Linked DNA regions of Canis lupus familiaris. The protein of the gene in region 2 interacts with the protein of the main gene of each other region in a biochemical or structural test. Links are inferred from orthologs where the notes say so. Each region holds a gene or a part of one and is shown on either strand. Other genes may lie near its edges. The genes, in order: PJA1, UBE2D2, LTN1, MYLIP, RNF216, PJA2 and RNA-binding E3 ubiquitin-protein ligase MEX3C.

What was found.
Region 1: the proteins of UBE2D2 (region 2) and PJA1 form a complex in vitro, tested with the Homo sapiens proteins (3 studies listed by BioGRID). The link is inferred for Canis lupus familiaris from reciprocal best matches to the Homo sapiens genes UBE2D2 and PJA1.
Region 3: the proteins of UBE2D2 (region 2) and LTN1 form a complex in vitro, tested with the Homo sapiens proteins (2 studies listed by BioGRID). The link is inferred for Canis lupus familiaris from reciprocal best matches to the Homo sapiens genes UBE2D2 and LTN1.
Region 4: the proteins of UBE2D2 (region 2) and MYLIP form a complex in vitro, tested with the Homo sapiens proteins (2 studies listed by BioGRID). The link is inferred for Canis lupus familiaris from reciprocal best matches to the Homo sapiens genes UBE2D2 and MYLIP.
Region 5: the proteins of UBE2D2 (region 2) and RNF216 form a complex in vitro, tested with the Homo sapiens proteins (2 studies listed by BioGRID). The link is inferred for Canis lupus familiaris from reciprocal best matches to the Homo sapiens genes UBE2D2 and RNF216.
Region 6: the proteins of UBE2D2 (region 2) and PJA2 form a complex in vitro, tested with the Homo sapiens proteins (3 studies listed by BioGRID). The link is inferred for Canis lupus familiaris from reciprocal best matches to the Homo sapiens genes UBE2D2 and PJA2.
Region 7: the proteins of UBE2D2 (region 2) and RNA-binding E3 ubiquitin-protein ligase MEX3C form a complex in vitro, tested with the Homo sapiens proteins (2 studies listed by BioGRID). The link is inferred for Canis lupus familiaris from reciprocal best matches to the Homo sapiens genes UBE2D2 and MEX3C.

The regions. Positions count from the first base shown.
Region 1 is NC_049260.1:53,797,433-53,801,588, forward strand, and holds the start of PJA1 (E3 ubiquitin-protein ligase Praja-1), read right to left. Parts: upstream 2,883-4,156; 5' UTR 2,732-2,882; intron 819-2,731; 5' UTR 592-818; coding exon 1-591. UniProt on the Homo sapiens protein: Has E2-dependent E3 ubiquitin-protein ligase activity. Ubiquitinates MAGED1 antigen leading to its subsequent degradation by proteasome. May be involved in protein sorting.
Region 2 is NC_049223.1:33,997,611-34,001,263, reverse strand, and holds part of UBE2D2 (ubiquitin-conjugating enzyme E2 D2), read right to left. Parts: intron 1,873-3,653; coding exon 1,841-1,872; intron 1,763-1,840; coding exon 1,685-1,762; intron 1,601-1,684; coding exon 1,495-1,600; intron 1-1,494.
Region 3 is NC_049252.1:24,536,250-24,539,902, forward strand, and holds part of LTN1 (E3 ubiquitin-protein ligase listerin), read right to left. Parts: coding exon 3,559-3,653; intron 3,061-3,558; coding exon 2,830-3,060; intron 249-2,829; coding exon 196-248; intron 1-195.
Region 4 is NC_049256.1:16,553,704-16,557,933, forward strand, and holds the start of MYLIP (E3 ubiquitin-protein ligase MYLIP), read left to right. Parts: upstream 1-1,427; 5' UTR 1,428-1,509; coding exon 1,510-1,596; intron 1,597-2,648; coding exon 2,649-2,839; intron 2,840-4,230. UniProt on the Homo sapiens protein: E3 ubiquitin-protein ligase that mediates ubiquitination and subsequent proteasomal degradation of myosin regulatory light chain (MRLC), LDLR, VLDLR and LRP8. Activity depends on E2 enzymes of the UBE2D family.
Region 5 is NC_049227.1:12,342,432-12,346,775, reverse strand, and holds the start of RNF216 (E3 ubiquitin-protein ligase RNF216), read right to left. Parts: upstream 2,803-4,344; 5' UTR 2,641-2,802; intron 1-2,640.
Region 6 is NC_049224.1:2,731,767-2,735,934, forward strand, and holds the start of PJA2 (E3 ubiquitin-protein ligase Praja-2), read left to right. Parts: upstream 1-1,368; 5' UTR 1,369-1,515; intron 1,516-4,168.
Region 7 is NC_049222.1:23,929,240-23,933,563, forward strand, and holds the start of RNA-binding E3 ubiquitin-protein ligase MEX3C, read left to right. Parts: upstream 1-1,386; 5' UTR 1,387-1,420; coding exon 1,421-1,583; intron 1,584-2,411; exon of another isoform or gene 2,412-2,430; intron 2,431-4,324. UniProt on the Homo sapiens protein: E3 ubiquitin ligase responsible for the post-transcriptional regulation of common HLA-A allotypes. Binds to the 3' UTR of HLA-A2 mRNA, and regulates its levels by promoting mRNA decay.

The DNA.
Region 1 (4,156 bases), on a different chromosome or scaffold from region 2:
GAACTCAGCTCTGCTAACAGAGCATCTTGCTGCAGGGGCCGGGTCTAACTTGTCAAGCTCCTCTCTCACATCACGCTTAAAGCTAGAGAACTGTGGAGCCACCCCAGCCAAAGACCTGGCCCCTTTCTCTGGGTCGTAGGGCTTATCATCTTTAAACTTGCCAGTTTTCCCTCTAACTGGTGCTCGCTCAACAGGCCCAGCCCCCTCCTCCTCACTATCATCTGCCCCAAAAGAGTCAACATGTCCATAAGCCAATCCTCTTCTGCTACCTGAAGCCCTGTACTCTCTCGGTGGGTACCTGGAGTAGTCCTCATTATCAACATTCAGGCTGGCTCCAGAGCTCTCACTGTCCTCCCAACTACGACGGGTGATGGAAAATGGTGACCGGCTCCTCTTGGTGGTTTGACTGGGGGCTGATCTGTGCATTGGGACTTCGGATGTTGTCTTTCTCTGGCTGGAAATCCTGTCCTGCTGGCTCGAGGATGGCCTGAAACTGACATAAGCATGCCTTCTTCCATACCTCCTGCCTGTATTGGACTGATACCCTCCTGCTGGCTTGGGCCATACGGGCTTGCTAGATTCCTGACCCATGGCTCTGACTTAGGAGGGTTTCCAATACAGCTGGGGCTTGAGCGGAAAGGCTCCTGCTCCCTGCACAAGCTTGGGAGATGGGAAAGTCAAATCAGTTCAGAATAAAAGAGCAGGGAGATCTATTTTCACTTCAGCAGGCAGTAACAGAAAGGATAAGGGGCCTTTACAATTAGTTTCACTTTCTTCTAAGGCCTGAAGTAGCATTCCAGTGACTGTCAGGTGTAGACCTGGAACACATTTTTAATGTTGGCAAAATGATTACAAAGCTGGGTTGGTTGGAGAGCCAGACTTGGGGGAGAATCTGACAGAAGATGGGGGTGCCTGGATGCTAGGAAGGTGGGTGAAGTAGTGTGAAATTAGGCCAATGTGGAAGAGGAAAGATTGTTGTGGTTATCTTATGGGGTATCTGCATCTTTTCTGAGCCCTGCAGACAGACAGGAGAAATGCAAATTGGGATGGGGTGAAAAAGAGATCACCATGTGTTCATGAATGCCTAACGTGTCTGTCAGGAGGAGAGGGACAGGTGGAAGGGGGGGGGCAGTCATCATGCAATGAAGAGATGCATGTTTGTAGGGGGAGGGGACAGGTGTACTGGGAAGAGGCGTTAGTGTCAGACAGAAGGACACCCATTCTGGATGTGGGTAGGGAAATGACAGGTGCCAGGGTGGGGGGTGGCTTCAGAGGAGAGGGGTATGTGTAAGCATGACAGAAAGAGAATGTGCATGTGTGGCTGTATATGTGCAGTGGCTGCAACTCTGTGGAGGGAGCCCGTTTACGTGTCTGTGGCAGGCAAGAAAGGGTTTGGTAGCATTGGACAAGGGTGGCCACGGTCTGTGAGTATTCAGCAAAATGGGAGGCAACAGTGGAGAATGTCAGTGTGAGTGAACGCATCCACGAGAGGGACAGCACAGGAGAGGGATGTGAGGGTGGCTGGTGGGTGGAATAGGGAGCCAGCAATCAGGGAAATATGTGTATTCACGAATGTGGCTAGCTGGGGGGTGATGGTGTCCCCAAAGAAGGATTTATGTGAGTGTTTGCACTGCAGGAACCAGCAAAGGAGGGCTGTCTATGCACGTATGTAGCAGATGGGGAGCAGGGCTGGGAGCATCTGTGAGGGCTGTGTGAATGAGAGTGTGTGCGTGCATATATATGTATGTATGTATGTGGCACATGAAAGAGGAGCCAGCAATCAAACGCTATCGTCATGTGTGTGGCAGGCAAGGGCTAGGGCAGCCCCAGAAGGGGTGTGTGTGGTGTGTGTGTGCTCACACAGAGGCAGAAGAAGGAGGGGGCTGCTTCTGGAGGTGAGTATGTGGCAGGCAGTGAGAAGCAGGGAAAGGCACAGGAGGGTGTGACATTGTGCAAGAGTGTGTGTATGTGTGTCTGTCCACGTCCTCAAGGGGAAGAGGATGTGCCAAAACCTTGAGTATGAGGGGGGTGCAGGGAGGGGGCTGCAACGAGAGGTTTCTGTGTGTGTGTCTGTATGTATGCCTGCGTACGTGTGCGTGCATGTGCACGCGCACCATGTATGCATGTGTCTGTGTATGTCCCTGCCCACACATGCGAGACATGGGGAGGGGGAGGGGGTCACAGTGTCATAAAGAGAGATGGCAAAACGTTACTGCTCACACTGGCAACTCCAAACCGATGGCCAGGGAAGGGGAATAAAAGAAAGGAAAGGCAGGCAAGGGTCTAGTTTTTCCCTGGTAATAACTGGTTTCTCAGACAATTCTTTTTCCTGGGAACGATAATATATTTACCTACAAATCTGAACAATTTGCCATTCAGGAAAAACAACTGCAAAATGGGGGAAGAAAGGACATGGAGTGCTCTGTAAAGGGACCAAGGAGGGAAGAAGTAGGGGAGGGCCCGGACCCCCACTCCCCTCTCAAACAGCAATTGAAGCCATCCGAGTAGGGGCCACGCCACGCGAAGGGGGCTGGGAGATGGAGGATGACGCCCCCGAACAGGTCGGGGGATACAGGCCTCACTCTGCAGGCAGGTCCTGCGTCCACCCCACCCCTTCCCAAGGGGCGCGCCTGAAGATCTGTTCGCTAGAGGACCCGAACCCTCGTCCCCAAGCCCCGCCACCTGCCCCGCCGCCCCTTCCGGATGAACTGAGGAAACAGCCTCCACTCACCCAGGGCTGACAGCCGCGCGCTCCTCCGGGCGAGCGGAGCTCTCGGGCCGCCGAGCGTCAGGGCCGCCGGGGCTGCTCCGGGTCTCCAGCTCCTCCCCCGCCAGACAGCAGCCGGGCAGGCGGCGACTGCGGCGGAGGAAGTGCCGGTGGCGTCGCCGGGCCCGCCCCCTCGATGTGGCGGGGCGGCAGCTGCTCTCCACCAATCAGGCTGGGCCCGAGAGCATGATTTCATTTTAAATGATGAAATCGTCAAGGATACAGAAAAGGACAGCAAAAAATGTAACCAACAGCCAGCTTTAGCAAATGTTAAACATTTAGCCATACCCTCTTCTGTTCTGGGGGTTTTCTCCCCCTTTTTAAAGATGAAGTCGACAAATTCTTTCTGATTAATTCTGATGTTCAAGTAATTACAATAATATATCATATCCTATGTTATATGGCATGGTTTGTACTAGAAGCATAAAAAAATGTGAAATTTTATCTAGAGTTGCAGGTTCATTTTTTTTTTTGACCTGGTAATTGAAGCAATTGAACTGTTTACAGTAGAATTTGTTGCTGTTAATTTTTTTTCTCTGTTAACGAAACCAACCTTTTCTATCCAAAAGAAATGATCAGTCATGAAGCGTAATACCGACTCACAACCTGGTAATCTCATTGCAGTTTAAAAATACTATAGCTATACCTTTTGGATTTGTATAATTTTACAGAATTCTGAACTCTTTTATTAATTGCACTTTACAATGCATCTTTAATATTTATGGAATGTAAAGACTCTCCATGTTCACGACAATAGCAAAGTTTTGTTCTTGGAAACAAAATGCACAATACAAGGACAGGAAACATTAGGGTAACAAATATAATAAGAATAGGATGTATGTGTAACAAACCACTAAAAAAATAATATGTCGAACAAAGAGAAAAATTCAATCTATCAAACTGCAGAAGTGAGGTGGGAGGCAACAAGAAAGGCTATTTTTTAAGACCCAAAGGGCAGGAATAAATCCAAATATATCAGTATATAGTATGGATTAACACTAATTAAAAAAAAAAAAAGCAGACTCTCAGAAATCCTGAGTGGCTCAGTAGTTGAGTGTCTGCCTTTGGCTCAGGGCGTGATCCCGGTTCAGGGATCGGGTCCCTCATCGGGCTCCCTGTGAGGAGTCTGCCTCTCCCTCTGCCTATGTCTCTGCCTCTCTCTCTCTCTGTCTCTCATGAATGAATAAATAAAATCTTTAAAAAATAAAAGGCAGACTCTCATTTTAAGTATTTTGTTTTTCTTCAAATTTGATTATATGCTGTTTATATGAGTTTCACTTAAAGCAGATATAGAAATGGAAAATATATGCCAGTTAAATACCACAAGAAATGAAGAAGGAAGGAAAGGAAGGAGTGAGGAGGGAGGAATTAAAAGAAAAAAAGAAAAGC
Region 2 (3,653 bases):
AGGGAACTTAATTTTCATTTCCTTCATTATTTTGCTCCTTTCTGTCTATTCATCTGTTGGGATCTTTTCTCTTACTGATTTTTATATATGTTCTTCCTATTTCAAACTTATTAGCCCGTTATCTCATTTGCAGCCTTTCTTTTTCTTTATTTGTATTTGTACAGCCTTTTTTTCATTATTATATTTTTACTTGGACAGCTCTTAATCCACTTGTGATTTCATTTGGATATGATGTTGAGGGGCAGTACAATTTCAAATCAACATACTGTTTGTTGGAGTGCCTGGCTGGCTCAGTGCCTCTGCCCCCTGCTTATATGCTCTCTCCCTCTGGTAAATGAATAAAAAAATCTTAAAAAAAAAAAGAAAATGTTAGCTACTTAGTTCGCGGATTAAAAAAAAAAATCCCCAACCGACTCATGTAATTAGGCTTTATTTAGAATTACTGGAATTTCATTGCAAAATTAGTAACTAATTTTTATTTTTTTAAAAATATTTTATGTATTTATTCATGAGAGACACAGAGGGAGAGAGAGAGGCAGACACACAAGTAGAGGGAGAAGCAGGCCCCATGCAGGAGCCTGACGTGGGACTTGATCCCAGGACCCAGGATCATGCCCTAGGCCGAAGGCAGGCGCTAAACCGCTGAGCCACCCAGGGATCCCAGTAACTAATTTTTAAAACACATTTTCAAACACACACAGGACTATATACTGAAAATATTAAGATCATCAAATAGAATTTTTATTAAACTGGTCATCTTAGAGAATCAATCTGTTTCTGATAGAAACCTCAAGACAAGAGCTGGTATAACCTTAAAGAGTTTGAATATGAATTCACCTATACTTTGTTCTTCAAGGACCTAAAGTCTGTATTTATACCACAAGCATTCCTTCAAAAGAACTGCTATGTCCTCTTCTGGAACAGTATCTATCCTTTCCATTCCCAGATCTCAAGGTTGGAAGATACATTAATTTCCTCTACTTTAACTTTGCTCTAGAAGAAATTCATACCAACTGGCCATTTTCCAACTTACGCTTGAACAGCATAATGGACAGAGCTGTCAAGACATCAAAGAATACCTATGCCTGAAAATCCAATTTCCTCCAATGGTCTCAAGGTGTACTAAAAAATAACGGGAACTTACTACCTCTTCTTGAAAGGAATATGAATAATCATTTCAAAAAATAAATAGACAACAAAAACAAAAAAACAAAAACCAGGGACACCTGGGTGGCTCAGTTGGTTGATTATCAGACTGTTGATTTTGCCTCAGGTCATGATCTCAGGGTTGTGAGATGGAGCCCTACATGTTGGGGGCTCCATGCTCAGTGCAGAATCTGCTTGAGATTCCCTCTCTCCCCCCTCTGCTTTTCCCCTTGCTTGCATGTGCATGCTCCCTCTCTCAAATATATGCATCTTTAAAAATAAACAAGTAAAAAATATAAGACAAAAACACTGCTGCTTTATCTTAATATCAGATACCCATTCTATTACCTTTTGAAATAGTTAGTGCTGGAGACCACTGTGACCGGAGAATATCAAGACAAATGCTGCCATTACTGTTAATATTTGGATGATAAATTCTTGTTGTAAACGCAACCTATAGGGAATAGGAAAACTTTTTGTAAACTGATTTATTAATGTCATAGAAAGCACATAAAAACAAATGCCATATCCCAATTACCTTAGGTGGCTTGAAGGGGTAATCTGTTGGGAAATGAATTGTCAAGAAAAATACTCCACCCTGATAGGGACTGTCATTCTGTTGATAACAAGAAAAGTGGGATTAAAATGAGTGAATTACATAAACACTTACTCTGAAATCAATCTGAATACTTACTGGCCCCATTATTGTAGCCTGCCAATGGAACACTGAAAAAGAAGAAAAAAACAACCATGAAGCAATATTTCCATTGTATCTACAACATAATTACATATCAATTCCTAACCCCAGTTCATTTATAACTGGGTATGGCAGTATGGTAAGTCCTGGGCAGGATGAGGAATCTAAATCAAGTCTGAGACTGAAGAAAGAAAAGAAAATGACTAGTATGGTCTTGAACACTGATAAGGTACTGTGAGAAAGTATTTGACTAAAATATTTTGAAAATTCCTATCAGGGAGACAAAATTCTTGACAAGGGCCAAGTTTTCATTTTCATTTTTATTTATTTATTTATTTATTTATTTATTTATTTATTTATTTATTTATTTATTTTCAAGTTTTCACTTTTAAATAGGCATTTCTTACCTCAAAAGGTAAAAAAGAACAAAAGATTCAACTCTTTAACTTGTATCATTTCCCCAACACATTAACATAGAATACATTCCTTTTATAATACTGGTATAGAGCAGGGCTATAAAGTCAAAGTAGATAATATCCCAATTAGGAAAGACTTGTTTTTACAGCAAGAAAAAATTTCTGAGAGCATTCATGTATAAGTCTTTAGAATTACTAGTCCCTCACTAACAGATGAAAGATCAAGGTCTCTTTTTTAAATGATCTAGAGTTGGGCACCTGGGTGGCTCAGTTGTTGAGCATCTGCCTTTGGCCCAGGGCATGATCCCGGGATCCTGGGATCCAGTCCCACATCAGGCTCCCTGCAGGGAGCCTGTTTCTCCCTCTGCCTATGTCTCTGCCCCTCTCTCTGTGTCTCTCATGAATGAATGAATGAATGAATGAATGAATGAATTAAAAAAAAGATCTAGAATCTACAACACCAACAAGGCAGAGAAAGACAAACTAAACTAAAAACACATTAAGATGGAATTTAATTAACAAAAGCATGTGAAGACCTGCCATTAAAATCTTAATGGAGGATTTCTGCTACACTGGTTAAATATAATACCTACTGGAATCACTGACTTAGGTCTCCCTCTGGAACTCTTCTACACTCCTAGATGTCCTTGTGGAAGTATAAAAAAGAAGGGAAGAAGGTAGTGGGAGAATATCTAATCCTGACTCAAATTATAATGGTTTGGTTAGCAGTTGAAGAGTCATTAGATGAAAAAAAAAAAACAAAAAATCACTACAGGTTCTAAGTAGAAATAACTCTCCAGGGGTTCCTGGGTGGCTCAGTGGTTGAGCATCTGCCTTTGGCACAGGAGGTGATCCCGGGGTCCTGAGATTGAATCCCACATTGGGCTCCCTGCAGGGAGCCTGCTTCTCCCTCTGCCTATGCCTCTCTCTGTGTCTCTCACAAATAAGAAAATAAAATCTAGAAAGAGAAAGAAAGAAAAGAAAAGAAAGAAAGAAAGAAAGAAAGAAAGAAAGAAAGAAAGAAAGAAAGAAAGAAAGAAAGAAAGAGAGAAAGAGAAAGAGAGAAAAAAAAGAAAGAACGTACTCTCTAGAAATAGTGGGCAAAATATTTGGCCATAAGCAAAAAATATTGTTGTATTTTATAGGAACATCTATATTTCAAAAACCTTTCATTTAAGAATCAATCTTAGGAGTGCCTGGGTGGCTCAGCTGATTAAGCTTCCACCTAAGCTCAGGTCATGATCTCAGGGTCCTGGGATTGAGCCCGCAGTGGGATCCCTGCTCAGTGGAGAGTCTGTTTCTGCCTCTCCTCCTGCTTGTGCTCTCTCAACTCTCTCCTTCTTAAATAAATAAATCTTTAAAAAAAAAAATCAATCTTAGAAGCTGTTAAAAAT
Region 3 (3,653 bases), on a different chromosome or scaffold from region 2:
ATAATTCAAATTAAATAGCAGGACAACTTGTAAGTAAAAGCATTTAAAATGGCACCTGGCATATAGTATTATATCAAGTATTTTTATCTCTACTTTCACAATCTCTTTTTTTAAAAATATGGTCTTGAAATTATCATCTCATTACCTTTGAGCGAAACAAATCCTTAATATGAGTTACATAGACAGATGACTTACTGTGGGTCACTGAGTGTATCAGGTGTTTCTTTTATAAGATGATCCTGCAGTACCTATAGAGGGGAGAAAATCCCATAGTGTTGAGATTCTATTGAATTGTCAATGGTGAACAGAGCATAAGCCTTATCTTATCTAAAAGTTTCTACCCCTTCCCAAAAGAGTAGCAAAATTAAAGCAGCAAAACTAGAAGGTTTGAACTGTAAAGTTCAATTGGTAACAATTTTTCTTTCCCTATCAATCCCCAAGGTTGACTGCTTTTGCAGTTAGAAAGAGAGGGTACTTCTTCTGAACATCTTCAGTACCTTCAAGAAGAGTTTTCCCTTAAATACTCCTGGTCTCTCGCTCCTCTATCCCTCTTGTACACAACAGTGAAGTAGAATCACCGATGAGTTTTAAGTTTGGGAGAGAAGTTAGGCTGTTTTCCCCTCTGAGAGCCTCCCTGCCCATAACAGGACAACACATATTGTGTGTGCTCTGCTTCATCAAGGAGGAAAGTTTAAGGCTCCATTCAAAGTGAGTAAGCCTGCCTACTACCAGGGCGCAGTACTAGGGAACCTACTGTTCTAGTACTGCTTTTATCAGCAGTAACAATAGTTATCATTTATTTAGCTTTTCCACAAGCCAGGTATTGATTTGAGCACACTTCATCCATTAAGTTAATCCTCACAACTACTCAATGAAGTACAAGTTAATTTCCACTTTAATAAATGAAGAAATGGAGGCACAGAAACTTGCCCAAGGTCACACGAATAACTAATGGCACAGTTGGGGCTAGAACCCAATGTTACGACTCAGAGCCCATGTTCTTATAGACAGTATGACATAATGTTTATAAATCTCACATTTTGGTCTTCATTTGCCTAACTCCTCTCTAAAAAATTGGTTTTGAACTTGGGAAAGTTCAAACCCATTATCTGTAAGAACTGTGACATAACTAAGTAAAGGGGAAATAATAGAGGAAAAATCCACATATTCAATGATCAATTATCCATCCATAACAAAACCAAGAACAAAAAAACCAATATAATACTATATAATACTATAATACTATATGCAAAACTATAGACAGCCAAATTAGTTGTCTCAAACTCCATCTTCTAAAACTCTTAGTATCATAACTCATCATACTTCATTCTCACAATACTTAAATAAACCAATGATTCTTGGATTAGACAACTCCCTTTGAGAATATGATTAAAGCTACAAACCCTGTCCCTAGAAAAACAAACTTGGTAAAACTGAAAAATAAAGAATGGGAGAATCAAGAACTCAAATGGGGAACTAGAATGCACGTATGTGTGTAGGAGAGATGTTAGGTGCAAAGATGAGACAGGTAAGCTGGGACCAGACCATGCAGAGTCCTGTAGGCCAGGATAAGAAATCTGGACTTGTGAGTATAATGGGAAGCCACAGGAAGGCTGGATAATTGAAAGGAGAGAGGATGTTTAAGAAAATATTGTACACAGGGTGTTATGGAAACACAGGTGTACTAAATAAAGGAATGAATGTCTTTGAATTTCTATGAATTTCTAAAAATCCATGAATTCTAAAAATCTTCAATTCCTCTCTTCTCTCACAGTCCATCTACTTTGATTTCTTGAGAGAATACTAATAAGCTTGGTTGTCTGGTTTTTCCAGCCCATATATTAGGAATAACAGAAATGAAGAAGGACAATATAAGACACAAATTGAAAGCCACAAAAAAAAAGTTATGGCTGATACCAGTCTCGCAGAAGTGCTGGCCATGTGTTGGAGAGACCTTTATATCATTAAGAGGAATATAAATTTATATCGCCTTTTGAAGGGCAATTTATCAGTATCCATGAAAATTTTAAATGTTCCTATCCTTTGACCCAACATATGCTTACTAGAAATTCTATTATCACTCCCACAGGGTCTGAGGAGATCTGTTCAAGAATGTTTACTGAAGCAGTATTTGTTATAATAAAAAACAGAGGGAAAATCTCAGATGCATATTAATATAAAAGGAGTTATATAAACTGTTGTACATCTATATCATAAAGCCAACAAAAAGAATGAAGTTTATCTGTATACATGTATCAATATGGAAATATGGGGAAAGTAAATTTAGATTTTTTAGATGTATTCTTTTTTCAGATCATGTAACATAAAGCATAAACTTAAATCTTTTTGGTACTATGACTAAAAGTTATAAATTAAGGACGAAAAATTTAAATAACTTAGAAAAATTCAATCTAAAATGTTAATTATGGGGCAGCCCAGGTGGCTCAGCGGTTTGGTGCCACCTTCAGCCCAGGGTCTGATCCTGGAGACCTGGGATCGAGTCCCATGTCAGGCTCCCTGCATGGAGCCTGCTTCTCCCTCTGCTTGTATCGCTGCCTCTCTCTGTGTCTCTCATGAATAAATAAATAAAAATCTTTAAAAATAATAATAATAAAATAAAATATTATGTTTAAAAATCAAAACCAGAAAAAAAAAAAAATCAAAACCAGTCAGTTTTATTAAATACCATTTTTAAAAACTGTCTTCCATTAGGAATATTTCACTTAGCTATTCCTTCACAATACCATGTAAAAGAGCTATCATTATAATAAGCCTCATGTTCCCTAAATACTTGTGGGGAAAAAAAAGAGGACAGTTCCAAGAACTTACACTTGTAATTTCATCCTTACAAAATGCTATGGCTTCAGGTTGCTTGCTTGGCGGAAAAGCTGCTTCAAAGGCATCTTTTGCTGCAGATGCAGCTGGTGTGTAAGTATCACACTGAGCCATTAGCCAATAGCCCATTAAACTTTTTAAATAAGGAGCCAAGTGTTTCTTCACTTTAAGAATAAGTTTTTCAAAAGCCTGCTGTGTGGCTTCTCGAACCCGGCGATCATGATCCTATTGAAAATATAAAATGATTTAAAATAGCTCTACCCCATAAGAATAAAAATACAGACATTTCTGAATATGCTATGATGACCCATTAATAAGAATCCACCGATATGCAGAGCTAAACTAAAATTAGTAAATTCAAAAATTGTGAAAAAGTTCATTTTTTCTTTTTCCCTTCTTGCAATGAGATAAAAACTCTTCAAGATAGACTCAAGGTCAGGCCTTGAATATTGGGCAATTCACTCTCATTCTTCCGCAGTAAATATCCAAAGAAATTAAACTGTTCAATTTTACTCTAACTAGAAAGTATCTAGGTAATTCTCCAGTAATTACCTGATTTCTGAAAAAAGATTCTCAATATACCTTAAAAACATGATTCAATCTGCATAACAATACTGACATAACATTTTATCATCCTCACCAAAAGCAATCATATAAATTTAATAGTCCTCATGACTTCAAAAACTGTACAAAAACAAACTACTACAAGTTTTTAATACTTACAAGTGAAATTTTGCAGAAAATTCTTGGCCAGTATGGAAGAACTCCTTTTACAATTTCTGTGTCTCTCTCTGTACACATGGTTCCGAATTCCTGCA
Region 4 (4,230 bases), on a different chromosome or scaffold from region 2:
CAAACGCTTTCGTGAGCATATCTCTGCTGGTCTTCACAGCAATACTGGGGAAGGGGCGAGTGGGGGATGAGGGGAGCAGAGCAGATATTGTGCTTTCCATTTTACTGTTGAAAACACTGAACTTCAGAGAGATGAAGCAGGCTTTCCAAGGATCCAAGACTGAAACCCGCATCTCATTTCTCCTATAAAGAAACCAAAGAGTAGGCTAACTCGTGCATTGGCAAAAAGGAACAAGTAGTAAATGAGTGAAGACTAGGAGGCCTTTAATTACTAATAGCTACTGCTGAGGTTACCACCTGTTAGGTTCTGAGATAAGTCCCTAACCTTCAAGATGGGGATAACATCTGGTTGCCTGAGAGAAGGGACCGGCAGCACAGCAAGTGCTCAATTAACGTTTAATGAATGAATAACGCACGAGACAGGATGAACGAGAGAGGGCCTTGGAGCCCCATAAGGTGTTTTGATTCAGTACAACCTGTAAACAGAAGCTTCTGGAGAAGATTTATGCTGAAGTGCTAGATCCAGCTCCACGCTAGATGCAGCTCAGTGGTCAACTGAAAAAAAAAAAAAAAAAAAAGATTTTATTTATTCATTCATGAGAGACGCAGAGAGAGACAGAGAGCGGCAGAGACACAGGCAGAGGGAGGAGCAGGCTCCCTGGGGGATTCGATTCCACGACCTGAGCCGAAGGCAAATGCTCAACCACTGAGCCACACAGGTGGCCCTGCAAAAAAAAACAAAAAACAGAAAAACTTTTATACTCAGATTTTTTTTTTCCCCCACCGCCGAGGTCTAAAATGAGGAGCGATCCTTCCGCCTTCCAACAGCCCACGGCGGCAACCCCCGGGGGGGCGCGGGGGCAGTTTGCTCCGGGCTCGGGGGTTGCTCCCTTTGCCTTGGACGTTCACCTCCCGTAGGCGTTCTCGCAGCGACCCAAGGCTCCTGGAGAACGGTGGATCCCAGGCAGGCAGAGGGGCGCCCCAGCCCCGGGGCCGCTCGCCCGGCTCGGAGCAGCGTCGCGCAGCGGGCGGGGGCGGGGGCGGGGGCGGGGGCGGGGGCGGGGGCGGGGGCGGGGACGGCCGGGCCCCGGACCCCGGGCCCCCTCCCCGCGCAGCCCTCCGCGCCCGCACGCCGCCACCTCCCGGGCCGCCCGGGGGAACTCAGCCGCGGCCGAGCGGGCGCCGCTATTGGCTGGCCCGGCGGCGGAGGCGGGGCGCGGCCGCTGATTGGCTGGGGCCGCCGCCGGAGGGGGCGGGGCCACTATATGAGCGGAGTCCCCGGCGCGCCGCAGGCAGTCGGGCTGCTGGAGTGCGGCGCCGCCGCGGGGACCCGGGCGGGCGGGCGGCCGGCGCGCGGGCGGAGGGCGGGGGCGCGGGGCGGCGGTCTGCGGCGCTGCAGCCTCCCGGGGGCCAGCGTCGCCGAGCCCGGGGCTGCCTGTGAGCCGCGGCGAGGCGGCAGCCCCGCGCGCACAAGGAGGAGGCGGCCGCGGCGGCAGCGCCGGCCCCAGCCATGCTGTGCTATGTGACGAGGCCGGACGCGGTGCTGATGGAGGTGGAGGTGGAGGCGAAAGCCAACGGCGAGGACTGCCTCAACCAGGTGACGGCCGGGGCCGGGCGGGGGCGGCGGTCCCCAGAGGCCGAGGGGCCTCGCGGCGGCGCCAGGAGCCTCCCGGGGAGCGGACGGCGCTGCGGCGGCCCGGCGGGGAGCGCCCCCCCCCTCCTCCTCCTCCTCCTCCTCCTCCTCCTCGCGGCCGTGGGGCCCGCGGTCCCCGCAGGCTGGCAGCGCGCAGGGGGGGGGGGCGGGGGGGACGCGCGCGGCGGGCTGCCCCCCCCCCCCCCAGCCCCGCACTTTCCCGGAAGAAGGCGGCCCGGCACACCTGCCGCAGGTGTGTGCATGATGCCGCCTGTCGGGTCCCCCGCGGGGTCTGGCGGTGCCACCTGAGCCCCCAGATGAGGTGGCTGCTGGGCAGACAGGCGACGCTCTTGTCTCTTGCTGCTTCTCCAATGCACCGTCCACCTGCACCTCCCGGTTTGCGGGGCCCCGGAGGGCCGCGGGTTTGGGTCACCCACTCCGTCGCCTTGAAAGCACGCATTCCCCTTAGGAGTAACGACGAATGGCTCGAAACTGCACGTTGGTATGACAGACAGAAAACCTGGTCTCAAGGGGAACGCTGTGCCCTCAAACCCCCTAGACCTGAGCTGTGTGGAAAACCTCCTAGCTGACACTTGTGGCGTGTTTCCTCACCGTGTTTGTTTCTTGGAGTCCAGATGGTTAAAATTGTCCAGATAATCTGCCAAATCAGCGGTGCGGATTGTGCTGGTGGAGGGGATTCCGGTGATTGGAATAAGAGAAAATAACCCTGTAGATTGCCTCCCTCGGCCTTTCTGGAAGGCTACTCTCGAGGACTCCTTTCTCCCTACTGCAGTTGACGGTGTCCTAGGTGTTAAAGGAAGCACAAAGCCTCTCTGTTGGTTTAACAACACTGGGACCTTAGAACTTTGTTCTTACAGCTTAAGGCAGGAATTGTAGCACCTTTGTTGAACGTTGTGAAAAGCAGGCAGGAAGCTTGCACCCAGACGGTGTCCTTGGGTTTGCTTTGACCACATGGACCATTTGCTCATCCGTATTGCACTCCTTTTCTGTTCTAGGTGTGCAGGCGGCTGGGAATTATAGAAGTTGATTACTTTGGACTGCAGTTTACGGGTAGCAAAGGCGAAAGTTTATGGCTAAATCTGAGAAATCGGATCTCCCAGCAGATGGATGGGCTAGCCCCTTACCGGCTTAAACTGAGAGTCAAATTCTTCGTGGAACCTCATCTCATCTTACAGGAGCAGACGAGGTAAAGTGGCACTGAAATAAACCAATGTCACATACATAGACCTTTGATTCCGTTTAGAAAGGGCTGTTGCACCTCCCCAGAGATGTTCACAGGCAAACGTGGTTGACACAGAGTGAGTTGGTTCCTAACTGAGAAGTTTTCCACGGCTCAGCCCTTTTGTTGAGGTGAAGAGGGAACCGCCTAGTTGGCCTGGGGTATGTTTTCTGTCTCTTGTGGTTTTTTTTTTTGTCTTTATAAACAACAAGGGGCAGGGCTGGATTCTTGTGAACGCTGGAGATCAGTGCCACAAGGCAGAAAAAAAAAAAAGGTTAAAAAACCCAACTGACTTCCTGATAGCCGCATCAAATGCCCGATAGTAACCTCTGCCTCAGCAGTGTTACTACAGGTCATTGTAGAGGGTTCTAACAGAAAGCAGGAAACAGTTCCTCTTGGGTTACTTAAACTTGGTCAATTTAAGCCTAGTGTCAAATTACAACATGTAGCAAAGCGCTCCATCTGACTTCATGCAGAATTTTGGAAGTTTTTAAGCATCTTGAAATCTTAGTAGAAAAACACTGTAGGGCCGGTGTAACGGAACTTGAACCCACACATCTGTAACACAGGATTGTTTAGATTTGACTTTATCTCTTTACTTGTAGAAAACCACCAGCAGTGGTAGACAACTGGAGCACGTGGGTGCCTTTTTCAAACAGAAAATGTTTTCTCCCCCTGGACTGTCTGTAGTACTTTTCAAGGATGAGCCAAATTAGGAAACTGGCATTCAGTATTTATTGCTGAAATGCAAGAGACCTGAATCTTATAGTGGCATGTTAAGAAAAAAAAGAAAGGAAGAAAACGACTTTTAAAGACAACAAACTTTGGATCTGAGTTCTGATATTTTTCATAATCCTTTGGGTTGGAAATTCACCACACATGAAAAATGTGTGACAATCTCAAGGTATGATAAGTGAGCAAAATCCTTTAAGGGTTCTCATGTCTTTTTTTTTTTTTTTTTTCTTCTCCTCTGCTGAAGGACTGATGGAAACATATTTTGAAATACTGTTCATTTGAATTTGAAATGTCTCTTCTACCTGGTTAGGGAGCTTTAAACAGTGAGGGAGATGTTCAGTTTTATTTCTGAGGCAAGCTAGTATATCAAATTCTTAGTGTTCTTGGAAATCTCTTGCAAAATATTCACATGATTGCATGTGTAGTAAGGCTGTTTTAGCTGTTTATGTTAATCAGAATAGGTTGTGTTTTGTTTTTGTTTTTTTACCTTAAAGCAGACTTGTGAAGGTTTCCACTCTGTACTTCAAGATAATGGAGTAGAGTAAGAGAAGAGGACACACACACACACACACACACATATTACAACACATTGGACTTTTCATTGTGTAGTTTTATCATGGTTT
Region 5 (4,344 bases), on a different chromosome or scaffold from region 2:
GGAGAGAGAGAGAGATAGGCACAGGTCTCCAGGATCACACCCTGGGCTGAAGGCGGCACTAAACTGCTGAGCCACCCGGGCTGCCCACAATGGGAAGGGTTTTAACCCAAAAATTAAACTCAGAATCTTCACTAGGTAGGTTAAAGAGTTTAACATATAACCTTATGATTTTCCTCAAATGTCAACCGAAAATTGGTTCAGAAACTGAAATAAGCAAGCACATCCTTATTCACAAGGGGGGGATCATGGTTTTCAATCTTTTTAGAGGTGAATCCTCTGTGAATTCATGATAAGCTGCCCCTGCCACCCCAAAAGTGCCTATAGGTTCTACTCTCCCACTTATTTTCATTTGGCACTGAGGTGCTGTTTCTTTTAAATCATAAGATTTCGTCATAGAACCAAAATTTCGTGGCCTGTGAAACGCTGCCTCGTAGGACCATTGCTGACATAGCTAGCCTCACCATACACCTCTCCTCCATTCACCATTCTTTCAGGGCCTTGAACGGGCCATGCTCCTTCCTCTTACCTCTGGCTGGCTGATTATTTTTCACTGCCTCTTTCTGACCAAATTAACTCCATTCATCTTTGAGTTTCTTATCTTAAATATCACTTCCTCAAAAATACCTAACCAGGAGGATCCCTGGGTGGCTCAGCAGTTTAGCGCCTGCCTTTGGCCCAGGGCGCGATCCTGGAGTCCCAGGATCGAGTCTCGTGCGTCGGGCTCCCAGCATGGAACCTGCCTCTCTCTCTATGTCTATCATAAATAAATAAATCTTAAAAAAAAAAAAGAAAAAAAAAAAAGAAACACCTAACCATCCCCATTGTTCACTCACACAATATATCTCAATCTTTCAAAGTACTTGGCACAATAATAATCTACAAATACTTAGAAAGCTACATTAAATAGCTATCTGCTAAAACAAGTTCCAAGGATGGAGGACCCGACATCTTATTCATTCCATTAGCCGCAGGACATACTGCTTGGCACAAAGTAAATACTCCAGAAGAACTTTTCGAATAAATATCATCTACAGGGATGGCAAAGTAATTAGTAGGAGGAGCATGAGCTATGGAACCAAACTGAATTCAAGTCCCAGCTCTGTGGGAGTTTTTTGACTACTTATTTTTCAGTACCTCGTTTTCTTCCTTTTAAAATAATAACGGAACCCCCATTACTGAAGATTAGAGGAGTTATTACATTAAAAAATGCTTAGAACAATACCTAGCATAGTTACTAGCATCATGTTTGTCTTACTGACAAGAAAAGTAAAATATTGCCAGCTATGAGAATTAGTTATGAGGTCTGAAAAGACCTTAACACAGCCTAGAATATAGCAACTACTCATTAAATAGAAGCCATCAGGGTCAGCAAACTCAGGTGCTCTCATCGACCCTATTTCATAAACTTTCAGTCTTCTTGACTCAAATTTCAACTTCCTTTATTAGATTTCTCCATTCGGGCTGGAAGGCAGGTTTAAAAAAAAAAAAAAAAAAAAAAAAAAACTTGCTGCCCGCTAGCCTCTATTTAGGTTTAAGGGGGGAGATCCCAAATCTGGCTCCAGTTCTCCAGCGATTTCCTCAGTTTCACACCAGTCTGTACCCCGAGCCCCAATAAATTACCTATACAACAAATAGAACAAAGCAAGGCTGTTTCTTGGCAGTCTTTTTTCAGGCAAGCGTGCTAAAATTGAGGTCGGTCCTAAAATCTTCCCTGTCTTCTCCCAGTTCCCTGCAGGGTAAAAAAAAATCTTCTCTTTGCATTAGCAAAGTGACTTGGATGGACAAGCCATACCCGGGCACTTATCACAACGCAGGCACTGGGGGGGGGGGGGGGGGGGGGGGGGGGCGCCGGTGGGCGAGACGGGGGGGGGGGGGTCTCGCACAGGACTGAAGTGGCCCAAAGTTTTGAGACCGTCGTTCCACGCAGTCTCCAGCCACGTCCCACGCGGGAACGCCGGTCTCGTTCACTGCGCGGCGCTCCAGGCACATTTGTCGGGTTCGCCTTCCCCGCGCTGCAGAGGGTTTTGACGCACTTGCATGTCTTCACGAGGGCTGGGTGGGAGCCGCCGGCTTTCCCGACAAGACGGCGCTCCTGAACCGAGTCGGGAGGGTTGGGGACTGAGGCCCGACGCCCCTGGGCCCCGGGGGGGTGGGGGGGTGAAGGGGGACGCCGGAGTTCAGAGTCCCAGTGCATCACCGCCCGCGCGCTCCAGGCCGCGCTCGGCTCCACCGACGCCGCCTCCCGCGAGGTGCCGCCGGGAAACTCGGGTCTTTCGGCGCGTTCGCCCTCGCGCAGCAGGCCGAGGGACCGGCCCGCGAAACTTCCCGAAGTGGCGGGCGCGGGGGAGCGTCCGCCAGCCGCCGCCGCCGCCTTTGTGGCTCCCGCCTCACCGCCAGCCCCGCTGCTCGCGCCGCCCGGCCCTCGGCGGGGCCCCGCGCGGCTCCGGGCCCGCTCGCCTGCGGGAGGCCGCCGGGCCAGGCCCGCGCCCCCGACTCCGCGGCCCCGCCGCCCCTCACAGCCGAGGCCCCCGCCCCCGCCCCCGCCCCCACCCTGGGGCTTAATGGAGGCGCTGGGCTGAGACGCCACTCGCCTCACGCGGCCTGCCGAGGAGCTGGGCGCGCCCCGCGGCCGACACTTACTCGCCACTCAGCTCGCCGGCTCGCCAAGCGGGCTCGGCGGCTTCTGTCGCCACAGCTTTTAGTCACCAGAAGCGGCCGCCGACAGCTTCGTTGCCGCCGCCGCCGAGGCCGCCGCTGCACTCCTTCCGGCCCCGCCGCGACTTCACCCCGCGCCTGCGCACAGCGCCCCCTCCCGACTAATGACAGGAAGAACCATAGAGGCACGCCGGGTGCTAGGGAGGAGGGGCCTGGAGAGTAAGACCATAGAGAGGGACGTCTGGCCGCTCACCGCCCACTGAGTCTTGACTCCCCCACGAGGTGGGAGGACGAAGGAAACTGAGGGGCCCTTCCCCCAACCTCAGGAAGTGTCGCCTGTCTCCCTAGGGATGAAAAGAGTGGAGGCGGGGGAATGTGGGGTAGGGGGGAGCAGATGCCCATGGAAAGCTATTGGATATGCATTTATTTGCACCCCTTGCCTTTGGCAGGTCATTCATCCAACACCTATTTTTCAAAGAGCTTCCTGTGTGCCAGGCACTGTTGTAGGAATTGGGCATACAACGATATAGAGGGCCCCTGTTCTCCCCAAGTTAATCTTTTAGTGGATAGATATATAACAAACGCACTAAAATACTGGCTCAGGCAGGAAGGGTTGGGGGGGGAACAACACAAGAAAAATAGAGCAGAGGAAGGGGTAGAGAGTGATGGGGATGCCAATGCGGTCATGAAGTCTTCTAAAGAGGGACGTTTGAGCAGAAAACGAAATGACATAAGGAGGTCTTAATCAGAGGAATGCTAGTTAGGAAGAGATTATAGGAGTCTAAATAATACCCAATGGTGACCTTAACTAGTATGGTCAGGAAGGAGGGGGAGGGGGGAATGATCAGAGTAGGGATTTTTTTTTTTTTTCAAGTAGAACGGAGAGATTTGCAGATGGATTGGATGTGAGGTGAGAGGGAAAGGGTAACTGCAAGGTTTTTGGAACGTGCAACTGGATGAATGGGGTTTCAGTCATAAATATGGGGGGAGATTGGGAAGAACAGATTTTGGTCAGAGTAGGGAGAAGTAAATGTGTTTTGGACGTGTGAAATTGCCAACGACACCTTCAAATTAGAGACGTCAGTCAGCATTTGGATATATGAGTCTGCAGCTTCAGAAAGACAGGATCACTCAGGCTAGGGATTTAAACTAGGAATCACTGAGATAGAGATAACGTATGAAGCCATCAGACTAGCTACACTCACACCTAGGTAATGAGTGTAGATAGAGGGGAGAGGACAGCTGAGGACAGACTTCAGGGTCACTTAAACATTTGGAATCTAGAGGATGCTGCGGAGGAAAACCAGGAGAGTATGGTATCTCAGAGGCCCAAGAGACAAAGTGTTTCGACAAGAAGGCAATGATCGGTGTTGCCCAATGCTACTCAGAGACACAAGATGATGCAACTGAACCTCAGGGAAATGATAAGGAGGGACCTTAGCTGAGGGCGAGGTCAGGGAAAAGATCTGGGAGAAGATTTGTGAAGGAGAGAGTAGAGAACGAACGATCAGTCGAATGCAGTAGCCTTGCAGGCACTAGAGTTCCGTGATCAGAAATTTAAAGTGAGGCCAGGCAGCAAGGATGTGGGTACTTCTCCAGCCACCTACTTAGATGCAGGGGGATAAAAGAAGCTGGAGAGATAGGAAGGGGTCAAAGAGGGGGTATGCTTGACACTGAGATTTTGGAGTT
Region 6 (4,168 bases), on a different chromosome or scaffold from region 2:
GGGAGAGGGATGCGATCAATATACCCGAGCCCCGGGCGGGTACGTGGTGGGGCGGAGGGGGCTGGGTTGGGGACTAAGGTGGGAGGAGAGCAGGACCGTAACCGGAGAAGCAGACACGTTCAGGAGAGGGGGGGGAAAAACAAAATTAAAAAAAAAAAAGGAGGTGTGCGGGCCGAAGAAACCACTGAGCATCACGGCATGATTCAGTCAACTGTTACCCGTGTTTAAGTTAAGCAGAAGGCCCCGGGACTACAGCTGTTGTATTTACCGTCGGGCAGGTGATGGGAGCTGGTCCTTCTGGGCTGCACAGCCCCCGAGCCTCCCGGTGCAAAGTGGGAGGGGGGTCAGGACCGGGCTGGGGGCGGAGGGGGGCTGGCAGGAGGCCGAGTGCCCCGTCCCCACCTGGGCGGGGGGCGCAGGGGGCCGCAGCGTCCCCGCGGGGAGGGGGAGGGGAGAGGCGAGGCCGAGGAGGGAGGGGAGGGGATGGGGAGGGGATGGGGAGGGGATGGGGAGGGAGCGGGAGGCCGAGTGCCCCGTCTCCGCCTCCCCCAACCTGGAGGGATGCGCGGCGGCCGGAGCGTCCCCGCGGGGAGGGGGCGGGGCAGAGGGAGGGGAGGAGGGGGGGGGGGAGGGGGGGGCCGGGAGGGGTTGGGAGGCCGAGTGCCCCGCCCCCGCCCCCCCACCTGGTGCGGATGCGCGGCGGCCGAGCGTCCCCGCAGGGGGGGCTGGGGTGGGGTGGGGGGGGGTGGGGGCGGGGCCCGCGGAGCGCGCGGGGAGGGGGGGCGGGGGGCGGCCGTGCCCGCGCTCGCTGTCGCCCCGCCCGGCTCCGAGCGGCAGCGCGCTGGCCTCCAGCCCGAGCCGGTCACCCGGGCGCCCAGGCCTCCGCGGCTTAGCGCTGAGCGGGAGCGCGCGGCCGGGGCGGCGTCGGGGTCCCTGCAGCCCGGGCGCTCCCGCCCCATCGCGGAGGCCCCGCCCTGTCTCGCGGCCCGAACCACAAAAGGCCGCGCGCCGAGCCCGCCCCGCCCCGCGCCGCCCCGCCCCGCCCCACCCCGCGCGTCGCAGTGCCGCAGGGGCCTCGGCCGGGCCGGGGAGCGCAGCCGCAGCCTCCCGCCCGCCGGCCAATCGGCGGCGCCCTCCTGGCCCGGGGCGGTCTGCGGCGCCGGCTCGGGCCGAGTCCCTTCCCCTTTCTCTGCCACGTCCCAACCGGTGACGTGAGCCCACTCCCCGGGTCCCCATTGGGCGCGTGGACTTTTCCTGCAGAGGCCCTGGGCGCCGATTGGCCGGCACCGCCCGGGGGCGGGGCTTGCGTGCCCGCCTCCTCCGCCTCCGCCGCGGCGCTGGGGGCGGGACGCGCGGCCGCCGCCGCCTCTGCTTCCGCCGCCGCCGCCGCCGCCGCCGCCGCCGCCGCTGCCGCCGCTGCGCGTTCCGCGGGGGAGGAGTCGGAGGCGGAGAAGAAGGCGGTGGTGGCGCTGAGGCTCGGGCGCTGCCGTCGCTGCGGGGCCGCTGCACTGTAGGGTGAGCCGTATTTCCTTTTCTTTCCTCAGGCCGAGCTGTAGTGGTGCGGGGAGCGCGGGGGTCGGGGCGAGGGCGGCGGCGGCGGCGCGGCGGGGGCGCGGGGGGGCGGGGGAGGCGCGGGAGGCGCGGGGCCTGCGTCCGCCGCCGGCCATGGTGGGTGGGGTTGGCGGCGCCACGGGCCCGGCCCCGGCCCCCGCCCCGGCCCCCGCCGCCGCCGAGTGCTGCCCGGCGGCCCGCGGAGCCCCCGCCGCCCCCGCCCCGCCTGCCGTTGCGGCCGCTCCCCGCCGGGCCGGCCCGCCTCCCGGGGCCCTCGGCCGCGCCGACCCCCGCGCGGCCCGTCCCCCCGAGCTCCCCCCGTGCTCCCGCCGGTGCTCCCTCCGTGCCCCCCCGAGCCCCCCCCGTGCTCCCCCAGCTCCTCCCCCCGTGCTCCCGCCGGTGCTCCCCCGGTGCTCCTCCGTGCTCCCCAGCTCCCTCCATCTCCCCTTGGTGCTCCCTTCAGTGCTCCCCTGGGTGCTCCCCCTAGCTCCCCCAGTGCTTCCCCCGCTCCCCCCCGTGCCCCCCCATGCTCCCCCAGCTCCCGTCGGTGCCCCCCCGCCCCCCAGCTTCTCCCCAGCTCCCCCCCCGGTGCCCCCCGTGCCCCCCCGTGCCCCCCGGTGCCCCCGCCGCTCGCAGTGTCAGGCCGCGCTCCCCCGCCCGCCGCCCGCCGCCTGGAGGCCGGCCTCCCGCGGATGGCTGCTTGCTAAATCATTTTGCGCACCTTCGAAATGCCGAGTTTAAAGCCGCCCGAGGACCAAGTTGAAGAAAAAAGGGAGGACGTAAAATACTCTTTTTTTTTTTTTTTTTTTGCAAAAAGGAAGAATAATCTGTTGAGGAGACTTCCCTCGCCAGGCATTAAATTTTTTTTTTTTTTTTTTTTTTTTTGCTTCCCGTATGCACGGGCCCTGCTTTGAGTCTGCTGCCTCTGTGAACTTTATGTTTATGTAGGTTTGTTTTTTTTAAGGCTTTCTGTATTTGCTTTTTTTTTTTTTTTTTTTATCATGACCTATTTGGTCAAATTTCCTTAAAATGGCAGTCCCCTCTGCCGAGGACTCCAGATCATTCCAAGAGCATGTCAATAAATATGAAAATAACAGAAAGAAGCGTGTTAACGATTTGTAGGTTTTTTTGTGTTTTGTTTTTTGTCTCATAGCATCCATCCCATTTTTATAGGAGATGACTCTAAGTCCTGAATATTGGCCCCAGACACGCAAGCTCGATGTAAAATTGGACAATATAAGGAAAAGGCCTATGGAGCAAGACTTGGACACTTGTCATCCTCCTGTCCTACTCCAGTCTCTGAAGTTAGCCATTTACTGGGCATTTTTAGAAACGCATTTTTAAACACATACATATAAAGTCGGGGTTCAGGGGCGAGGCGGGAGGAATACCAAACACCTCGCTGCGTCCCTCCTTCCTCTCACCTGCCCACGTGTCTGGCCCACCTTGGTTTGTTCTTTAGGGCTCTCTCTGATAACTTTGTTAAGGGTAAGCGGTATTTCATTGGTTTGGAGGAGCTGGGATTATTTGACCTATTGAAAGACATTCGATTAGTTTCTTTTCGCTGTCAAATACTGCTTTATTTGAAGACAACTTTTTAATGCATTGATTAGTTTTTAGTTGCACACTTTAAACCTTAAAATTTTTTAAAAAAATTCCAACAGTTGGAGGAATGAACGTAAGGTAAATAGTGCAGCACCCACTTCCCCTTCTGGTCCTGCCTTTATTCTAAAAGTCACCTGTTAGGGAAACGTCCTCTGTGTGTGATCACTTCTGGAGCATAGATTCCCTCCAAATGGAGTTCCTGCGTTAAATGGTATGCATGTTTTAAATTTTGATGACCGTTTTTCCCTCTTTCCAGAATTATTCTTGACTGTTTCTTATGCATTTCTTCCCCAGATGAACTTTAGATGCAACTTACAAATTTTTAAAAATCCTTAGTTTTTTATTTTCTTTTTTTGAATGTGACATTGAAATTTTAGATGGATTTGGGGCAAACTGACCTTTGTAATACTGAGCCTCTCCCCCAGAATATGTGCGTGTATGGTGTGTCTTTCCCTTTTATTCACATCTGGCTTTATATCCTTAGTTTGGGTTTTATAGTAGTTGTGTCCCCGCCCCCCATACTATGGCATTCCTTCCTAGTAATCCTGGCTAGAGTGTGATGTGATTTGCTCTGGTGGATAGAAACTTGCAGGAACATTTTCTCTCTCTTTCTGGTTATAGGAAAACTTACGGATTTTTTTTTTTTTGTTTATCATGAATCTAATCACTTTTGAGTTGGTGATTACCTAGAAGTGTTCACACCTTTCTGGCTTTCTTTTCATTTTTTTTATAACGTATTTTCCTCATTGCTTTGGCTAGCGTACACTTGCGGTATAATTTTGAAGAATAGCAGTGGTGGCTAAAAATGTGGTGTTGTTTCTGACTTTGAGGGACTGCTTCTGATGTTTTAGCATCCATTAACGATGTTTGCTGAAACTTTCTGTTAAACGGGAAATGTTAAGTTAAAATATTTTCTTCTCTTTTCGGCTTTCCAAGATGATTTTGTTGTTGTCTTTAATTTCTGATGACATTTTTAAAAACCGTAAGTGGGTGTTGAATTTTATTGATGGTT
Region 7 (4,324 bases), on a different chromosome or scaffold from region 2:
TCTTGAAAAGCCCCAAAGAAGTCGGGTGGAGCTCGAGGGCCCCGCGGCACCTGGGCGGGGCTGGAGGCCGGGTCGGCGGGCGGGGGAGGGCCCGGCCCCGCGGGAGCAGCGCCCCGGGCCGCCCAGGAGGACCCCGCCCCTCGCTCCTCCGAGGACTGTCCCCGGGCCCCGGCCCCCGAACGACGGGACCGCGCCCTCGGCGCCCGCGCTGCACCCCGAGGCTGCCCGCACCGAGGCCGAGCCGGACCCGCGGGGAGGCGGGGACGCCCAGGTGCACGCCGCCGCCGCCGCCGCTCGCGCGTGCGCAGACGCGCTCTCCGCGCAGCCCGGCCTTCAGCGGCTACCGCGCCTTCCTCCGCCCGCTTTTCCCCGCCCCCAGACGCCGCGTCACAAAGACTGACGTGCGGAGCGGACAATCACGGCCCCTGTCGGCGGGAGGGGAGCGGACGGAAGGGGAAGGCAGCGGGCCCGGCCCGGCCCGGCCGCCCAATCAGCGAGCTCCGGGAGCGGCGGGGCGGGGCCCGAGGCGCGGGCGGGGGCGGGGCCGCGGAGGGGGCGGGCTCCGGGGGCGGGCGCAGCCAATCGGAGCGCGCCGGCCCCGCTGGGAGCGCGGCGTGGGGCGTGGGGCGTGGCCGCCGCGGCGCGCGCCGGGGGCTGGCCGAGGCCATGGAACAAAAGAAGCCCTGAGAGGGGAGCCGCGCCGCCGCCGCGTCCCCACCCACCGCCGGGACCTGCCTGGCCCGCGGCTCGGCCGCACCCCGCCGTCTGCAGGCTCCGGGCGGCCCTGGCGCGCCGCGGCCCCGGGGTCCGCCCCGCCGCCCGCCGCCCGCCCCGCCGCCAGCGCGCCCGCCATGGGCCCCGCCGCCCGCCGCGCCTGACCGCCGCCCGCGCGCCGCCATGCCGAGCGGCAGCTCCGCGGCCCTGGCGCCCCTGCCCCCGCCCGCCGCGCCCGAGCCCGCGCCCGCGCCCGCGCCCGAGCCCGCGCCCGCGCCCGAGCCCGAGCCCGCCGGGGCCGCGCCGCTGCTGCGGGGGCGCCTGGCCGCGCTAGGCCTCGACGACCCCGGCCCCGCCGAGCCCGGCAGCGCCGCCCCGGCCGCGGAGGAGCGCGCCCCGCCCCGCAGGCCCGGGGCCCCGGAGGCCGCGCTGGACCGGGACGCGGACGGGGCCGGGGACGCGGACGGGGCCGGGCAGCGGGGGCCGGGGCCGGGGCCGGGGCGGGCGGGGGCCGGACGCCGACGAGCCCGACGACGCCGACGAGCCCCGGCCGCCGCTGCTGCTGCTGTCGCCGCCCGCCGCCCCGCACTCGCCGCCGCCGCCGCCGCTGCCGGGCGGGCCCCTGGGGCCGGTGCTGCTGCCCGCCGCCGGCTTCGACGCCCGGGACGCGGCGGGGGCGCTGTACGGGGACGCGGCCGCCCCGGCCATGATGGCGGCCGTGCTGTCCCACGCCTACGGGCCCGGCGGCTGCGGCGCGGCGGCCCTCAACGGGGAGCAGGCGGCCCTGCTGCGGAGGAAGAGCGTCAACACCACCGAGTGCGTCCCGGTGCCCAGCTCCGAGCACGTCGCCGAGATCGTCGGGCGCCAGGGTGAGTGCCGCGGGGGCGCGGGCGGCGGTGCTGCGGGGCAGCTCGGGGGCAGCTCGGGTCACCCCCGGGGGCAGCCCGGGTCACCCCCGAGGCAGCCCGGATCACCGTGCGGGGCAGCTCGGGTCACCGTGCGGGGCAGCGCGGGGGCAGCCCGGGTTACCCTGCGGGAGCCCCGCGCATCCCGCCCGGCGGTACCCGGGCCGCGCATCCCGGGCCAGGCGGGGCCGGCGCCCCGGGGGCAGGAGGTGGCGCGGCCCGCCCTGCAGCGGGGGTGGATGCTGCGGCCGCGCAGGTGCGCCCCGGGGCACGCGGCCTCCCGCCCTCCGCGCCCTCCGCGCCCCCGACGCCGGGACAGCGGCCGGCACCGTAACGGAGCCGAGCCTCCGGGCGCGCTCACTCGGCCTCGGCGAATCCTCGGCGCTGCGCGCAGACTCCTCCCACGTGGTCCAGACAAAGGAGCTGTGTCTGGGGCTCCCGGAGCGGCTGTGCGGTGTGCGCGGGGGCAGGCCCTGTGCCCCGCGCCCGACCCCAGGGCCGGGCGGAGAGCAGCCCCCACGGGCAGGTGCGGGGCTCTCGGGGCGAGTGGGGCCGCGACGGCGCTGCCGCGGGGGTGACCTCCTCCGCCCCCCCCCCCCCCCCCCCAGCGGTGTAAGTGCAGGGCGGGCAGCGAGAGGCCTGTGGGCGCGCTGGGGCCGCGCATCGCCGTGCGTTCCGTGCTCCCCTCTGGGATCTTAATACGAAAACCCCGTCTGCACTCTGGGTAAAGGACGCGGACTGCCGAGGACTGCTGCTCCAGGCACCCCGCGAAGCTGGGACCCTTCCACCGACCGTTTATTCCGGTAGTTTGGTAAAGAAGACTCAGATGCCTTGCTTTTTGTTTGTTTTATTTGGGCCGGTTTGGGGAGGGGGGAGGGTGTTTTTGCGATGCCTGAGATCCTACTGATCCAGGAGAGCGCTGTTTCACCGTACGGGGGATGAAACCTACCGCCCCCACCTACAAGTCCAGGATGAGTTGGCCATTCGATTAAGAGCATTAAGGAATTGATAGGTTTCAAGCTTCTATTTTGCCAGGTGTTGAGTTTATGGGAGTTGGAAATGTGAGGTCGATTCACACAAACTTGCTGCCCTTAAGAAACCAAAGTTTAATCCAACTAACGTGCGGTTAATGGCACTCTGTGTAGTAGGTGACAGCCCTACCTGTGAGGACACCGACCCTGCAGGGACTTTAACAAATGGAGACAAAGAATGACCTGGGAACAATGTGAGGATTACTCTCTAGCTCTAATTAGAAAGTGGGGTTTTATTTATTTATTTATTTATTTAGGCGCTTGGAGTCTTCGAAGGGGTGTGGTGGAAAGGGGCTGGGAATGTGTGCGTTCAGGCTTGAGTATGAAAGACCCTTAATGCTACACTAGGAGGGCACTTCCTCGGCACAGGTTGCTTGTGGTGCCAGTTGATGGTAACAAAAGAAAAGAACATTGACTTCAGTTTGCCTGAGGGACAAGATAATGAAATCTTTTGTATATTTAGTTTAACACAAACTTTTGTCCTTATCTGTATCGTACTCTTAAAAGCATGAAAAAATGGACCCCATTTACACAAACTGTTGTCTTTTTATACAAATGCATTATTTAAACTGAATTCATTCTGAGTTTTTATTTTGTACAAGCTATTAAAATAATATTTTGTAATCTATTTAATAGCAAATGAGATAAAGTCTTTAGTTTTTCTGTGCTTATTGGGCTGTACTTACTGGTTAATAAGGAAATGTGGTTCTATTTATGTCTTAGGACATGTAGACAAATTGCTGACTACTCCTCTTACACTTAATGTTTCCTAGAGTTGACAGTACTGTTAAAAGCATGTCATCATCTTCTACCTTCTCTTAAGACCAGAAAGTCTTAACACCCCTTTTCCTACCTCTAGTGGGATCATTGACCCCTTTGCTACCTCTACCCCTCAGCAGCAAGCACCATAATAAAATCTGTAAAGGGCTTTCCCACTCCTATGGAGAACAAGGCAACTCACCACGTTTGCACCCTTTTGTTTTTTGTTTTTAAAGATTTTATATATTTATTTGAGGGAGAGAGCGCCTGCACAAGTGGGGAGGGGCAAAGGGGAAGGAGGAAGAAATCGGGAGCGGACTGCACACTGGGCGTGGAGCCCAATGTGGGGCTCAGTCCCTCGACCACAAGATCGTGACCTGAGCTGAAACCAAGAATCTGATGTGTAACTGACTGAGCCACCCAGGCACCCCTGCATTCTTCTAAAGTGTAATGGTTTGTCTTTTCTCTAAGTGAATAAACAAAGCAAATCATTCAATTTACTTGTCTGCTTTGGGTGAACTAAATGTTCATTCTAAACAATTACCCGTTCTTGCCATTTTATTCATTACCTGAAGTCATAATTTTCTGTTTGCCATCTCTTAATTGGCTTTGGAAATAATTATGACACAGATGGAGACATTTCTGACTTCAGCTCTGAAGCAAAGGGTAGGACAAATGGAATTCTGAGTCATATAGGCTAGAACTCATGTAGATGGCCTCTGGTTCCAGTGTCTTTCAAAAAAAAACAAACCACTTCTTTTGATAGTGTTGAAAGTTGGCAGTGTTGACCTCATACTTGTACTCCCCAGGAGCGTATGGCCATTTGCAAATGTTAAATTGGCCCCGTCTTTTAGGCTTTGCATCTCATTGAAACCAACCATCCTGTGAAATAAAGGTAGGAAAGGTTTTTGTATG